Mytilus edulis: one gene and its partner. The protein of the gene in region 2 purifies or fractionates together with the protein of the main gene of each other region. This does not show direct contact. Links are inferred from orthologs where the notes say so. Each region holds a gene or a part of one and is shown on either strand. Other genes may lie near its edges.

Region 1 (7,362 bases), on a different chromosome or scaffold from region 2:
TTTGCTGATCTTTTTTGCTGTTTACAGTTTATCTTTATCTATAATAATATTCAAGATAATGACCAAAAACTGCAAAATTTCCTTAAAATTACCAATTAAGTGGCAGCAACCCAACAATTGGATGTTTGATTCATCTGAAAATTTCAGGGCTGATAGATATTGACCTAATGAACATTTTTACTCCTGTCAGATTTGCTCTTAATGCTTTCGTTTTTGAGATATAAGCCAAAAACTGCATTTGACCCCTATGTTCTATTTTAAGTAATGGCGGCCATGTTTTTTGACGGATCAAAAATCAAAGCACACACTTTGTGCAGGATAATCTAAGGAACAACCATGCTAAGTTTTAACCAAATCCATTCAGTAGTTTCAGAGGAGAAGATTTTTTAAAGTTAGCAAATATGATGAACAAATTGTGAAAAATTGTCATTAAAGGACAATAACCCCTTAAGGGGTCAATTGACAATTTTGGTCATATTAACTTATTTGTAGATCTTACTTTGCTGATCTTTTTTGCTGTTTACAGTTTATCTTTATCTATAATAATATTCAAGATAATGACCAAAAACTGCAAAATTTCCTTAAAATTACCAATTAAGTGGCAGCAACCCAACAATGGTTTGTTTGATTCATCTGAAAATTTCAGGGCTGATAGATCTTGACCTAATGAACATTTTTACCCCATGTCAGATTTGCTCTAAATGCTTTCGTTTTTGAGATATAAGCCAAAAACTGCATTTGACCCCTATGTTCTATTTTAAGTAACGGCGGCCATGTTTTTTGACGGATCAAAAATCGAAGCGCACATTTTGTGCAGGATATACTAAGGAACAATCATGTAAAGTTTCATTCAAATCCATTCAGTAGTTTCAGAGGAGAAGATGTTTGAAAAATTGTTAACGACGACAGACGACGACGACGACGACGACGACGACGACGGACGCCAAGTGATGAGAAAAGCTCACATGGCCTTTTAGGCCAGGTGAGCTAAAAATGGCTTATAAATTACATGTACATGTAAATGTATGTATAAGCAATTACCGACTGAATTTGACAGTTTGTTCATTAGTTATGTGCTGTGTCATCACTGTTCCAGGTTCATAGGAAGGCTTAGCATTGCTTACTGTGTTTAGTTCTCAAAATCATGTACAAGTTTAATGTCACCACATTCTTTTGTGCCTGCCAGGGCCAAGTCAGGAAGGAGTCTGTACTTCAATTTGTTTTGCATATAAAGTTTAATGCAGTTGATTTTTTTTGTTGTACATTCAACCACAACAAGCTAGAGGTGGCAAGGAAAACAACTCAACTTCAGATTAGATCAATTGAAAACTAACTATGTTTGCATACACAAAGCAATGAAAACTCACCAAAATATTCACCCTGTGGTGTCTTTTCAAATTCATCCTCTAACTGTTGAGTTAATGCTGCTATTTTTTTCTCTGCTTCTGTGGGACCTTTTGAAGGTGGTGTTACACTGTAAGGTAATTGAGCTTGAGGACGAACTGCTGCTGACGGTGGTGTACGCCCAATGTGACCAGACGACTGTGACACCACCCCCGGAGCAAACATTCTCTGTTGGGAAGTAGGTTGTGATGTCTGTGTATAACGTGGATTTCTCGGTGGTATAACTGGCACAGGTTCAGTTTTATGAGGACCATGATATGGAGGAGGTGGATTTTTAGGTACTGGTGATTCTAAAGAATTCTTACGAGACGTTGTTATTCTCATATTGTCCTGCAACTGTTGAGTTAATGTTGCCAAAGTTTGTTCAGCATCCAAATGATTTTGATGAATACCATTCTGGTGAATTGGAACTCGTGCAGGTATTGCAGGTGGAGGTGTAAACGTTTGGGACTGTCCTATATGGGACTCGTTTTGTATTCCAGTAAGATTAGAAACACTATTATGTGGAGATGACGAATGTTGTCTATGTTGATAAATTATTTCATTATTATTATTTGTCATATGAACACCAGGCACATGATGTTGAATATGTGGAGGAGCATGTTCATTAAATCTACTTTCATTCATTAAAGACATATTCCGATGTGCAACATTTTGTGGAACACCTTGATAAAAAGTATGTCCATATGAATTAGGTACTCCATGATCCTGTGACAACACAACACTCGTTCGCGGACTAGGAAATTTGTCATACATCACACCAGACATTCCCGCTAAACTTGTTCTTGGGCTTGAATGTTTACTTTCCAATGAGGCGCCACTAATGCTTGAACGTGGACTCGCTAAACTTGATCTAGGACTTCCAAATTTCTGTTGATCATATGGTGGTGGAGGGTGGGAGTTAATCATACTAGTCCTCGGACTGGAATTCTTTGAGTCTCCACCACTGCTGTAATTCAATGTGGAATTATAATGATCCGTACCCTGCTTCACAACCTTGTAATTCAAATTGTGTTGAGAATTTGCCATTACATGTGGGTTGTTAGTGACTGTCATATTTTGAGAGAAGTGTTGATTCAACATGTATTCATGACTAGGTGCTGGATATGCTTGACGAGAAATGTAAATACTTCTATTCATTTCATTAATATTTCCAGGATTCATTTGATGTCCTTGTTCAACTTGACCCTCAATCTGACCCCCAGGTTTTGGTGGCAATTTGTTTTGTTGTGTTAAGCTTTCAAATTTAAGATATCTATCTGAATTTGATATTAGATTTGCTGGTGAAGACTTATGACTCTGCATCATTCTGATTCGTGCAGTCTCCTGCTCTAATGACTGTAGATTGGCCATTATCATTAATGTATTGTTTTGATACGGTCCACACACAGGAATGTGTTTCACACGCTGATATTTACCCAAAAATAATTCAAAATGATCAATTCTTCAATATTTTACCATTGTTTATATCCTAATTATTCAAATAAAATCCATCTTGTTCCACACTTTAATGTCAATCTCATAAATTCCATTAATTAATTTTACACACATTCCTTAGATAGCGAATACACATAACTTTGTGTTTTCTTTGTAACAATGGCGGTATTGCGGAGTGATATGTTAAACCAACACGTTTGTTACTTTCTAGACATATTTGGTTATCTTTATTATACGCATTGAGCATTAACATATCAAACTCAGCTTAGTTTATCAATTTGTGAGTCCAGTATCTTTTAAATTAATCACAATCTCACACATTCCATTGGAACTTGTTGTGGTCTTAACGCGGAAGTACCTGCGATTTACAGTTATGTTTTTTAATGTAGAGGTGTCCTCTTTAAGGTCCGCGCTACAAAATAGGAATTTACAGGAATAATTGCGAATACTTAGCTACAGCAGAGTATAATACATATATGTCTTTGTCTATTGCAAATATTTTTTTTATTAATTTCAGATTCTTTCTTTATTAATAAATTTCATGTTGTAGTTATAACTTTACTTGCACACAGATCTAGAAAACTGTGCAAAAACTTTACGACAATTGAATGAGTCGATTGTTCGTTCTTTAATGTTAATTTTCCTTTTCCAGTGTGATGTTGTCTTTTGTTTTTGCCTCCTTTTTACATTTTGATTATTATAAGTTACATTTGACACAATATGTCATATTACAATTTAAACTCGTTCGTTAATTACGTCCGTTTCTTTGTTGAAGTTTGAGGATATAGTATAATACGGCATGGATTCATGCCAGGCTACTTATTTCTGAGACTTTAAATATTGTGGTCGAGGTTGACCGGAAATATGTAAAAAAGGCATCAAGACAAAATATGTCAGTATTCTAAAACGAATGGATAAACATTTCATCCAGCTGGACAGGTTAACATCCTACTATTCTGTCATTCTATCAAATTTCAACTATTCAGTGTCCATTTGGCCCAAGTTGCAACCGAAGCGGGAAAAAATCTTTTGAAAAGGAATAAGTGCAGGAAAGATCTCTCAGAAGACTTCTTACGATAGTTTAACCCGGGAAATTTTAGAAATTGTGGTCACAGTTCAAATAAGACATTTGAAAATTGTTGAAATAATTACCTTTGGGAGTGTCAAAAATTGGTTGGAAGTATTTGATAATTTGCATGCTTATTTTGGTGACTTCGAATCTGTTCAAATTTTTAATTTTCTACTCTATATACCACTTTACTTTATTATCTTATTTAAAAAAAACACATATAATTAAATGGTCATTGAAAAGTCAGAATGCGTACCTTTTTTGTCATTTTTTTTAGTAACAACAAACAAAAGAACTATGTCAATTGGAACTGTTTTGATACTATAACTGCCCTTAAATTTTTGCTAAATAACATTTCTATTCGCCTTATGGAGATTCAGTATATCGTCAAGTTATCGGAGTTCCAATGGGAACTAACAGTGCACCACTTATTGTGGACCTGTTTCTGTATTGTTATAAGTTGCAATGTATGACAAAATTCAGCAAAAAACCAATTAGGGAAAATTAACAAAAAAAGTAATATGATACCAGAGACATGTAATACATTTGTATTATATGTCCCTTATGATACCGATTACAGAAATGAACTATGCACAGAATGAATAATTCATCTTATTACAGAAAATGTGATAGTAAAATGATTTTATGAAGATACATACTAAGCGTTATTTCTAAAGATAAAGAGAATTACCTTAGAAAAATAAAGAATACAGAAATTATGGAGACAAGATTCCACAAGCGAAAACTTGTTCAAAGTAACAACAATGCCTAGCGTTTTGAAAACATAGTGTCTCATAATCAAGGCATTTATATGACAATTGAACCAATATTAATGAATATTTATATATGTATTAATATACATTCAAGTTCTTTTTACGTTGTACTTAATTGTTTTTGTTTAAGTGAATGTCCAATATTGTTATTTATAACCAAAAATAAAGAGATGTGGTATGATTACCAACGAGACAACTATCCACCAGTGTAATAGCTCGGTTTAAAAAGTTCTTCAGAGCTTATGTTTGTACTTGTAATGTATATACCATCTCTATAAAAAGCTTTATGTCTTATGTCTTATTATTCATTAAAGGTATGACCTTCAACAATAAGCAAATCGCATACTCTGTAGTCAGATATGAAAGTTCTCGATCTGACAAAGTGCTCCTACTGTGAGCTCTTTTAATGTAATATAAACAGCTGCTTTGATGTATGTAGTGGAATATAGGAGTTTTATGTTTTCAACTGTCTCATGGCGGATGCGTCAATTTACGAAATAATGGTGAAATGTACTCAAATGATATACATAGGGGGAGGGTTGAGGTCTAAAAAAAAAATGTTAAACCTGCCGCATTTTGTCCCAAGTCGGGAGCCTCTGGCCTTTGTTTAAGTCTTGTATGATTTTAAATTTTAGTTTTTTTTTTTTTTTTAGTTTTTTTTTTTATATATTTCGGAGTTAAGTATGACGTCCATTATCACTCAACTATGATACTTTTTTGATTAGGGGCCAGCTGAAGCACGCCTCCGGGTTCGAGATTTACTCGCTGCATTGATGACCCATTGGTCTTAGTCCGATTGGTGTCTCTTTGATACATTCGCCTTTTCTATTCTCAATTTTATTGTATTAGTAGAAGAAAACACAAATTTCGTTCTCAGTGTTATTTTGACGGAAAACACGTAGTCTTGTGGTAATGTATGAATAATAAATACTTCCCATATATTATAAATTATTGACAATGTATAAGTATGCTCTTGTGCTAAAAAACACAAAAGATGGTTTATTTATTGATGAATATATTTGCAATGCAACGATGTACGTGATTCATATAATCACATGGCTTACCAGTATAAACTTTGTAACCACAAACCTATAAATATAAAAAGTATTATTCGTGTAATATATTTAGTTACCATATTGAACGTAAAAGGGTATACATACTTCAATGAGATAAGGGTAAACTTCTTGTTTATTTTCTGCGAATAAAACTGATTTCGAAGACAAATATTATATTAAAGTAATTCAAATAGAGACACACCATGCAAGTTAAAAATAGGTACATACACCTATATAGGGAGGTACAAGATACCTTATAAAGGAATGAATCGGCAATACTGAAGAGGAGCACAATTTATTCACAGGGAATGCCGATTATTTAATGAGCAACACCTCCCAAAACGTAACAAATAAATTGTCCATAAAAATATGAGGAAACTTTATAATGTCGGTTTCAGCAGACGGATAAATAAGCAATGTTTGATTCAGAGCGCGGATTTTTTACAAAGTGCCTAAGACCAGATCACAAATGGCTTAAGAACTTCCTAACTGCAAGATCAATGCGAACCATCTAGCGAAACAACAGTTGACTCTGGGGTCCCCCAGGGCACAGTCTTAGGACCAATCCTGTTCCTGTGCCACACCAATGACCTACCAGACAGTGTAACATCATCAGTAAGACTATTTGCTGACGATTGCCTACTATACAGAACAATTAAAAATAGCCAAGACCAACAAAAACTACAAACAGATCTGGAACAACTAGAAATCTGGGCCGACAAATGGGGAATGCGTTTCAATGCCAAAAAGGGCTATATTCTATCCATAAACAAAAAACAGACAAATTCTACACGCTTAACAAACACATCCTACAAGAGGTACAAGTGAACCCGTACTTGGGACTCCAAATCTCAAACGACCTGAAATGGAGTTTCCACATAAACAACATCAGCAAGAAAGCCAATTCCACCTTGGGCTTTCTTAGGAGGAACTTGAGGAACGTACCAGAGGCATGTAGGAAAGTGGCATACATATCCCTAGTAAGATCGACAATGGAATATGGCGCAACAATCTGGAACCCATATATGAAAGGGGATATTGACAAATTAGAACGTATCCAAATCAGAGGCATACGATTCATCAAGAAAAATTACAGGAGTCGAGAAACAGGGTCCATAACAAACATGAGACGACAACTTGAAATAGAGACGCAAGAAGAAAGAAGACACAGCCTCCGTCTTATTCTGATTTAAGGTGGTTGGGGGTCTGGTGCCGGCTCTGCCAGCCGACAATTTTGTCATACCAGCACGACCTAAACGAACGATAAAAGCCAAAACGTATTCAAATTGTGAAACTGACAATATCATCGAACGACAAGTCATCTTCAGTGAAGCGTTGTTAACAATGATGTTTAGTACATTTTATTTAAAAGCCAGGCATACACAACCATGTGCTAAAAACACAGGAAGGTTTTGATAAACTGGCCTTTATGTAATTTTGAAAGTATTATGCTTTGCTTATCTATTTGTAGAACTTGTCTTGCTGACCAATGTTGCCGTCTACAGTTACTCTTCATCTTCAGTATTTACATCGTCAGCTGAGGTGAATTACTCCTATAATGAGTTGACAAGTTTAACTCATTTGTATTTCTAGTTTTGTTAATCGTGTTTGCTTCTTTTATTTA
Region 2 (7,740 bases):
CTAAGTTGGGAAACAGGTTTGAGAACTTCCCCACAGATAATAATTGAAGTGAGCTATTTTGATTGACATGGACAATAGATGGACAATAGATACCTGACAATAATTGGTTATTTAAACTGTGTACCTGAGTGGACCGTATCAAGAGAAACTTTTGACTGTTTGTTAATTTTATCATCTTCTGCAGGGACGAAAAAAAGTGCACGGCTCAATCCAGTTAAGGAACCAAGACCTTGCATTCTGGCAATTTATCTTACACACACATGAAGTTTTCCAAAACAATTGTTTTCAACATGTTCAAGGAAATTAATACAAATGGACATTTAAATTCAGCATAACAGAAATGACATCATTGACAACACATATCCAGTGAAAGTGTGTGTTTAAATGAAGGCCCGTTTCGAATAATGATCAGTTCTGGAGGATGCTAGGCTTATTATTGAAAGTAAGGGCCAATGAATCCATGCCCATGGACATGATGGTAAATGGTTTTTCAAGAGAACAAACTGCAAACATGGACCTATAGAGAATAATATCCCTACGGCAATTTATTCTGAGGAAATTGTTTAAGTTGTCCACCCTCAGAACCCAACAAGGGACTAAATTATTTATACTTTAGTTGTCATGGTAAATGTACCCTATCATCACCAGCTGCATACCAACCATCACCCCAAACTCAGGTCAAATAATAACACAATTATCCTTCCTTATTTATGCCATGTCATCATACAGTAACCGCTAATTTTGGGGTTACTTACAATCCAGATGTTTTTTCTTTGGCCCCATGACTTCTTCTGTAGTCGCTTTACATACAACCTTGGCCAACCCTTGGCCCGAGAGGCTGTGTTTAGCCGCAGTCATGCGATCTAAAATACTCTGTCCTGACATTTTGACTAACTATATGGTTAGAACACTCAGGAGTCACCAAGGGTCTTCTCTGACCCAAATGAGTGTGTTGAAATGCTCTAAATACACAAAAAGGGGTGGATACGGCGACCAATAATATTCAAGATGGCTGTTTCATTAATCAATCTCCGAAACAGAGGCGATCGGATTTTTTTGTTACACTAAGTTTACGCCGGTTTACTACAAAAATTATTAGCTTTTTTAAAAGCTCGGCAAAATGTACTGTTCTTTATAGGCACTGCTACGATTACATGAAACTGCAACAATCATAAAAAATAAATGCTCCGCAGAGCGCAGCTGGATACGACCGAAGTTCAAGCCTGAACAGTTGGGGTCGCAAAAATAGACGCAATATACAAGCTTGATATCTGACATACAAGTCTGAATTTGGATTGTAAATTAATGTGTTTGGATTACCTCCCTTACACTGCTTTTAGATCAAGACAACAGTAGTATACCGCTGTTTGAAACTCATAAATCGTCGATTGAGAAAAAAAATCCCTCTTACAACTTGAACTAAAGCTGAGGGAATATAGTTATCAAAAGTACCAGGAAACCATTAACGAGGAAACCCTTGTTTTTCCTCTCTTTTGCCCCTAATGCCTAACCAGTTTGAGCCATAATCCCCAAAGTAAGCCTAAGCATCCCTTTGTGGTATGGAAACTTGTGGTATAATTTCAGAGTGATCCATACACCGTTCCAAAAGTTGTTGTCTGGAAACTAGAAAAAAGCATATTTGTGGCCCCTTTTCAACCCCTGATTTCTATACTGTTCGGTCTTTAAATGTCACAGTATCCGATGTGATTCAATGAATCTAAATTCTTAAGAATTTTAAAATTCTCTTCTCTTGTTTTTGATTATTTTGCCAGATATTCGGAATCCTCCAGTTTCATTCATAAAACGCCATTAAAAGTTATGCTCAATTACCCACATCTTTTTTCGCAATTTTAGTGCATATATCTAAAAAAGACATATTTTCCAAACTTTTGATTTTTTTGGATTTTTTTAATGGTGCCAATATTCTATGTAGGAACAATCTAGAGAGAATCATTTCTCGCCAAATTTTCGATACCTTATATCTCGAAAAAAAAAGGTTGTTATTTTGAAACAGAGTAGTGAGCATTCTCAAGTAGATGATTAGTATTACTAGTACCAACCGTGCAAGGGCTGTATAGCCAGTCAAGGTCGTTAAAAGCTTTCATTTGTTACTAATATGATGATTCAGTCATGGGGTAATGCAAATTTGTAATTGTAATGCAAGGTAATGAATTCCCTTTCAAAGTAAAAGTATGTAATGTGTTATATTAATGCAGCAATTTTATTATATGTGAATATAGCGCAAAATTAGAGAAACAGATTCACCACAAACCTCGTGTATTATGATATTTATCCATATCAACAGTTAAATCTTAATTATCCGTTAAAAAGCTCGGCAAGTATCGCACTTTAAGGTGGTATGGGAGTCTAAATTAAAAATGATAGAATTTGTTCATGCTAAAACATAGCATTTATCGATATGTTCAAAAATATAATAAAAAGGCGGTGGCTATTTTGCCGGCTCCGGCAAAATGGCTGTTTATAAAGAATTTTGCTATTTTGCCGGTCTTAATAAAGAGTAAAATAGAAGTACATGTATAGAAATAAAGAGAAACATACACTTCAATAAGAAATTTCCATACAACTATGTCAGTCTTCTTTATACATATATAAATACAAATCGTGCATATTAAATTTGATATTCTGTACAGTCTTTTTAAAACATTTTAAAAGTAAACGCATTAAAATTGATACAAGTACTTTTTTTCTTCGATAGAAGCTATTTTAAAATAAAATCTTTAAAAAAAATATACAATACCAGAGAAATATAGAATATACGTCTCTGATAATATACATAAGAGAAGCATACGAACCCATGTAAAAAAATCGACATTCTGATACAAACTTATAAAAATATCCTTTTAGTTTTGATACAAAAAGTAACACCCAACAACTCAAACTGCTTAACGAGAGTTACAAAACCAGTGTCTTGCTTCTTGGTGGTTTTTTTTTCTAAGTCTGGCACCATAAAGGTGCTGCCACTTCAAACATGAAGTTAACATAATACTTCAACGATTTTTTTGCGTCAGCATCACTTATGCAAAATTTGCTCGGTTATACATTTCAGTATTCAAAATTCATAGAATAAATGCTGTTTGAATAGCTAGATTTCTATGCATTGTGTGTACAATATTTGTGTGTTTATTTTATAATACTTTATTGCACCATAGACAATACATTAATTATTATTAAAGTTTTGTCTGGTTTTCATGAATTTTATAGTCGATGTTTCACGTTTCAAAGTACTCCAAAACCGGCTTAAACTCTTCATATCAATTTGAAAATCAAGTTTGTTTGATAACAAATTTTCCATTTTCGAACGTTCAATGTTCAACAGAAATTAACGTATGTATAAAAAAAAACCGGAAAATTTGGTAGGATTTCCAATCAGACAACTCACCGCAAGAGACCAAATGACACGGAAATTAACTACTATACGTCACGTACGGCCTTCAACAATGACAAAAGCCGCTTAATCAGGCGTCTATAAAAATAACATGTATACATCTCACAAAAACACAGTACATGTAATTAAATGAGTGCAGTTCACCAAAATTGATTATGACTAGGAAGGCAAGGCGAACAAAAAGTTTATTAATTGACATTTAGCCACATATAAATTTTGTACATGAATAGTTTCCCTTAAAAATATATTTCATATAGTCTTGCCATGATTAAAAATCTGAAATAAGACCGGTAATTTAGTGGTTGTCTTTTGTTTATGTGTTGCATATTTGTTTTTCGTTCATTTTTTATATAAATAATGCCGTTAGTTTTCTCGTTTGAACTGTTTTACATTGTCATATCGGGGCCTTTTATAGCTGACTATGCGGCATGGACTTTGCTTATTGTTGAAGGCCGTACGGTGACCTATAGTTGTTAATGTCTGTGTCATTTTGGTCTCTTGTGACCAGTTGTCTCATTGGCTATCATACTTCATCTTATTTTTTATAAAATAGAAAAACTCTATATTATAAATCGCTAGCTATTTCGACGGCACCGGCAAATAGCATCTTAAAGTCACCGTACATTTTCTCAAGCTACAGGATGTGACAAATGGCAAATTTTGTATGGATTATACAGGAAAAAAACACCCGATTATGTGATTAGAAGCTAAACTAAGAATTGTAAATAAAATACGAGATATTTTTAAGAAAATGCATCGAGAATATCAAAAGAGAAGATAGGGTCACCGTGTGTATTTTTAAGCTAAATTACAAAATAACTAAATTCCACAGTAAAGATTTCCTCAGAAAATGCACCATTGTAGAGTTATCTCCCCTTTAAAATGCCTATTTCAAATCATTAAAAATCTAGCAAAAAATAATCTACACTTTCAAAATTATTAATATTAATAATCTTATAAATGTGTTCTTTCAAATGCAAATTCACATAAGTTATCGGCATTCTTGCATTAAATTTTGCTAATTTGTTTGAAAATCTGGACCTTAGATTTTTGTTTTTTTTCCAATCCAAGTTGTCGAAAGACACCCATATCAGTTACATACCGGCCGGGAGTAATTCATACCTAAGAAGAAGATCCCGGCGGGCACATTTTTATACAACCAGATAAAAACATATATTAACTCCCTTTCAATGAACGGGATGCCGAAAAGAGAGAGAAATGCACAGTGCCCCCGTGGAAATGCTATTCGCAACACGATTTACACACATAACACACGTGGTTAATTTTTGTACGAAAGTCACGTGAAAATAATGGAATGTCAACAATGCTGTAAAAAGGGCGTACCTCTGTCAATCAAATAGCTTGATGGAAAAGTCCATAAATGAAATATCAGAAGGTAGAGCGGCATGAATTTTATCAATTGGAGATTACTTGCTCCTAAGATAAATAATTTATTACTTATATTTCTTACAGTTCAAAATATCATATGTTCTGCTAAAATATAAATTTACTCGTCCATAGTTAATTTTAAGAATAAAGATGTAGGTCAAACAACCTGCTACGGAATTTGTGTTTCTTAGACTCGTCCATTTTGGATAGTGGCCGTATTCAGTGCCAGATTTCGACAGAGATTCTTGGGTGAGTGTTATTTGTTTTGCTGCTTGTGTCACCAGAAACAAGTAAAATGAAAATGAAACTACACATTTTAAAAAAAGTAACGAACTTTATTTACTAGAAGTTACAAATTTTGATATGGGACTAGATGCATCCGAACAACATGGCGGATACCAAAAAGGTGTTAAAAACCAACAGGTTAAAGTATATTGTCGTTTACCTATTTTTTATCAGATAATAAAATATCAAAAACAAGAATATATGAGGAACAGTTGATTACACCACAGCAAAACGACTGATTGTATTTTGAGAAAGTTGTCCAGAAAGACTGCTTAATATTCTTCAAATATTTACATTTTTATTGACATTGTATAAATACCTATTAATTTAAGTATCATATATACTGTTTAAGTACAATGTACCATGCAGTAACAAACAGGCACATTACATATTTTGTTATTTTTATCATGCAGTGTTCCCAAACATTTGGTTATTATCAAGCAGTTAAGTTGCCAATTTTCATCAGCTGGTACATGTATTTTATGCAATTATTTTCTATTGATGAGGGGGCCTCGTTTGCCAAAGTCGAAGTCGTAGTCGTACTACTGCAATCACTAGCCAGTCAACACTAAGGTTGTGAGTTCGACCCCACTTGTGCGGGTGTACTCTACTCCAATCTTAATTGACTAGGATTGTCAGTTTTCCTATCGAAGGTCAGTGGTTTTCACCAGACACTCCGGCTTCTTCCACCAATAAAATCTGGCTGCCATGAAATAGCCTAAATGTGGTGCTTAATAGTGGTGTTTAACACCAAAAATCAAATCAAATCTATAGTTGAGTATTAATATATTTATATATAGTGGATTTGGGTATCTTGTTATTTCAACTTATTAATCCCTTTTCACTTTGCTCATGTTGCTGGTGCAAGTGTTGCTTTGTAATGGCATTAGCCTGCTCTTTTTATCAGATCTATAAGTAACAAGGGTGTACATGTCTTATACATGCAAGAGATATATTGGTCTTTCTTACTTATTGATGAATATTCAGTTTTTAGTTGAATATTAAGAAGATGTGGTAAGAGTGCCAATGAGACAACTTTCCATCCAAGTCACATTTTGTAGAAGTAAATCATTAATGGTCAAAGTACAGTCTTCAACACAAAACCTTGGCTCACACCAAACAGTAAGCTATAAATTCCCCAAAATGACTAGTGTACAATGGTGTACATGTTGTACATCATGTACATGTTAAACCTTTCAAATTGGTAAACCAACGGTCTAACCTACATGTATATGGTTCTAACCTATATGAGAAACGAGAAACACTTATGAACCACATCAACAAATGACAACCACTGAACATCAGGTCATGATCAGTATAACAATCATAAAATTGAGAATGGAAATGGGGAATGTGCCAAAGAGACAATCGTATACATGTACCAGAAAATATTTACCTCATATTATGTTTTTAAAGTCTATTCCATACATAAGAATAACAAGAGCATGTACATATTTGTATATGAAAGTGGCTCACTACCACATCGTTGCTGAATGCAAGCTTTATTATATATGCCATCATTCATAAATACCATATGAGAATAAAGAGATGTTGTATGAATGCCAATGAGAAAATGGCCCTTAAAGAAATGACTATCTCACTTAGCAGTACCTGAAAGGGCTGGTCAGTGACTTGAAGAGGCGACCTCTTTAGTGTCTAGGTGACCAGATTTTATAGAAAACTAAGCATGTGGGAGATTACATTTCAATTCTTCTAAAAGTCATGTTTTAATCATCAGAATATAAAAATCCTTGTTGTCTTCTCCTGTGGACAGACTTGGTTAACTTGGCCCAGGACTTTTCTGACTGTAAATTAGACTTCTAGGATCATTATCTTCCTATTATGCCCCAGTTTATTCTGGGTAGATTTGTCAAGTACTCTACCAAAAGTATTTGTAATAACCGTTACATTAGGTCATGATGAACACACAGGACAATGATCATGATGATAACAAAATTGATGAATAAAATATAGCAGGGGTCATAATAAGGCACAGCTAGAATAAATAAAACCAGGACTTAGGATGACTATTCGGGTGACCAGGATTACTGCTTAGAGCAGATCTGTGTTTTCTGAGCAATATAAATAAATATTTTGACTTGCACAGAATCATTCAGTAGTTCTGAAATTTTAATGGTACAAAACATATATCAAGACCGGGCAGCCAAAATAAAAATATAAAAATAAGTATAAAATTAAAGCAGTAACTTAATCAGTGTTGTATTCTCATTAAGGGTAGCAGTAAAATATTGAATTGATTACTAAATAAGAAATCAGGACAGCCCTTTATTTAAACCATGAAGGAATCAGAAACAAAACCACTATTGACATTTTCTCTAATATATCATGCTAGCAGTACTGCACAATTTGCACACCCTTTCTTGTAGTTTGATTTTATTTTAGCACCAATAGAAATAAAAAATCTGTCTTATGTTTAGAGCAATTATAAAATTGTTTTTGTCAATATTTCTTATTTGAAAAGGTGAACAATGATTTAAATGGCATAAATTGTATACAAGTAATGCATATTTTTGTATCAATACCTTAAACAATGTTATTACAGTAAATAAAACAAAATGTGTTTTGCTATATTTTATGAAAAAGATCAAGAATATTTTTTGATTTTATAGGTTTGCTCAAGTCTGCATACAAGCCTATAT

What was found. The genes of interacting proteins can lie anywhere in the genome.
Region 1: the proteins of serine/threonine-protein kinase LATS1-like (region 2) and Wilms tumor protein 1-interacting protein homolog purify together in Drosophila melanogaster (affinity purification with western blotting; 4 studies listed by BioGRID). This does not show direct contact. The link is inferred for Mytilus edulis from reciprocal best matches to the Drosophila melanogaster genes wts and jub.

What each region holds. Positions count from the first base shown.
Region 1 is NC_092348.1:6,307,286-6,314,647, reverse strand, and holds the start of Wilms tumor protein 1-interacting protein homolog, read right to left. Parts: upstream 3,027-7,362; 5' UTR 2,764-3,026; coding exon 1,368-2,763; intron 1-1,367. UniProt on the Drosophila melanogaster protein: Regulates organ size by inhibiting apoptosis and promoting cell proliferation by influencing the expression of G1/S-specific cyclin-E (CycE) and apoptosis 1 inhibitor (th). Negatively regulates the Hippo signaling pathway.
Region 2 is NC_092353.1:65,163,514-65,171,253, forward strand, and holds the start of serine/threonine-protein kinase LATS1-like, read left to right. Parts: upstream 1-4,729; 5' UTR 4,730-5,044; exon of another isoform or gene 5,045-5,218; intron 5,219-7,740. UniProt on the Drosophila melanogaster protein: Negative regulator of Yorkie (Yki) in the Hippo/SWH (Sav/Wts/Hpo) signaling pathway that plays a pivotal role in organ size control and tumor suppression by restricting proliferation and promoting apoptosis.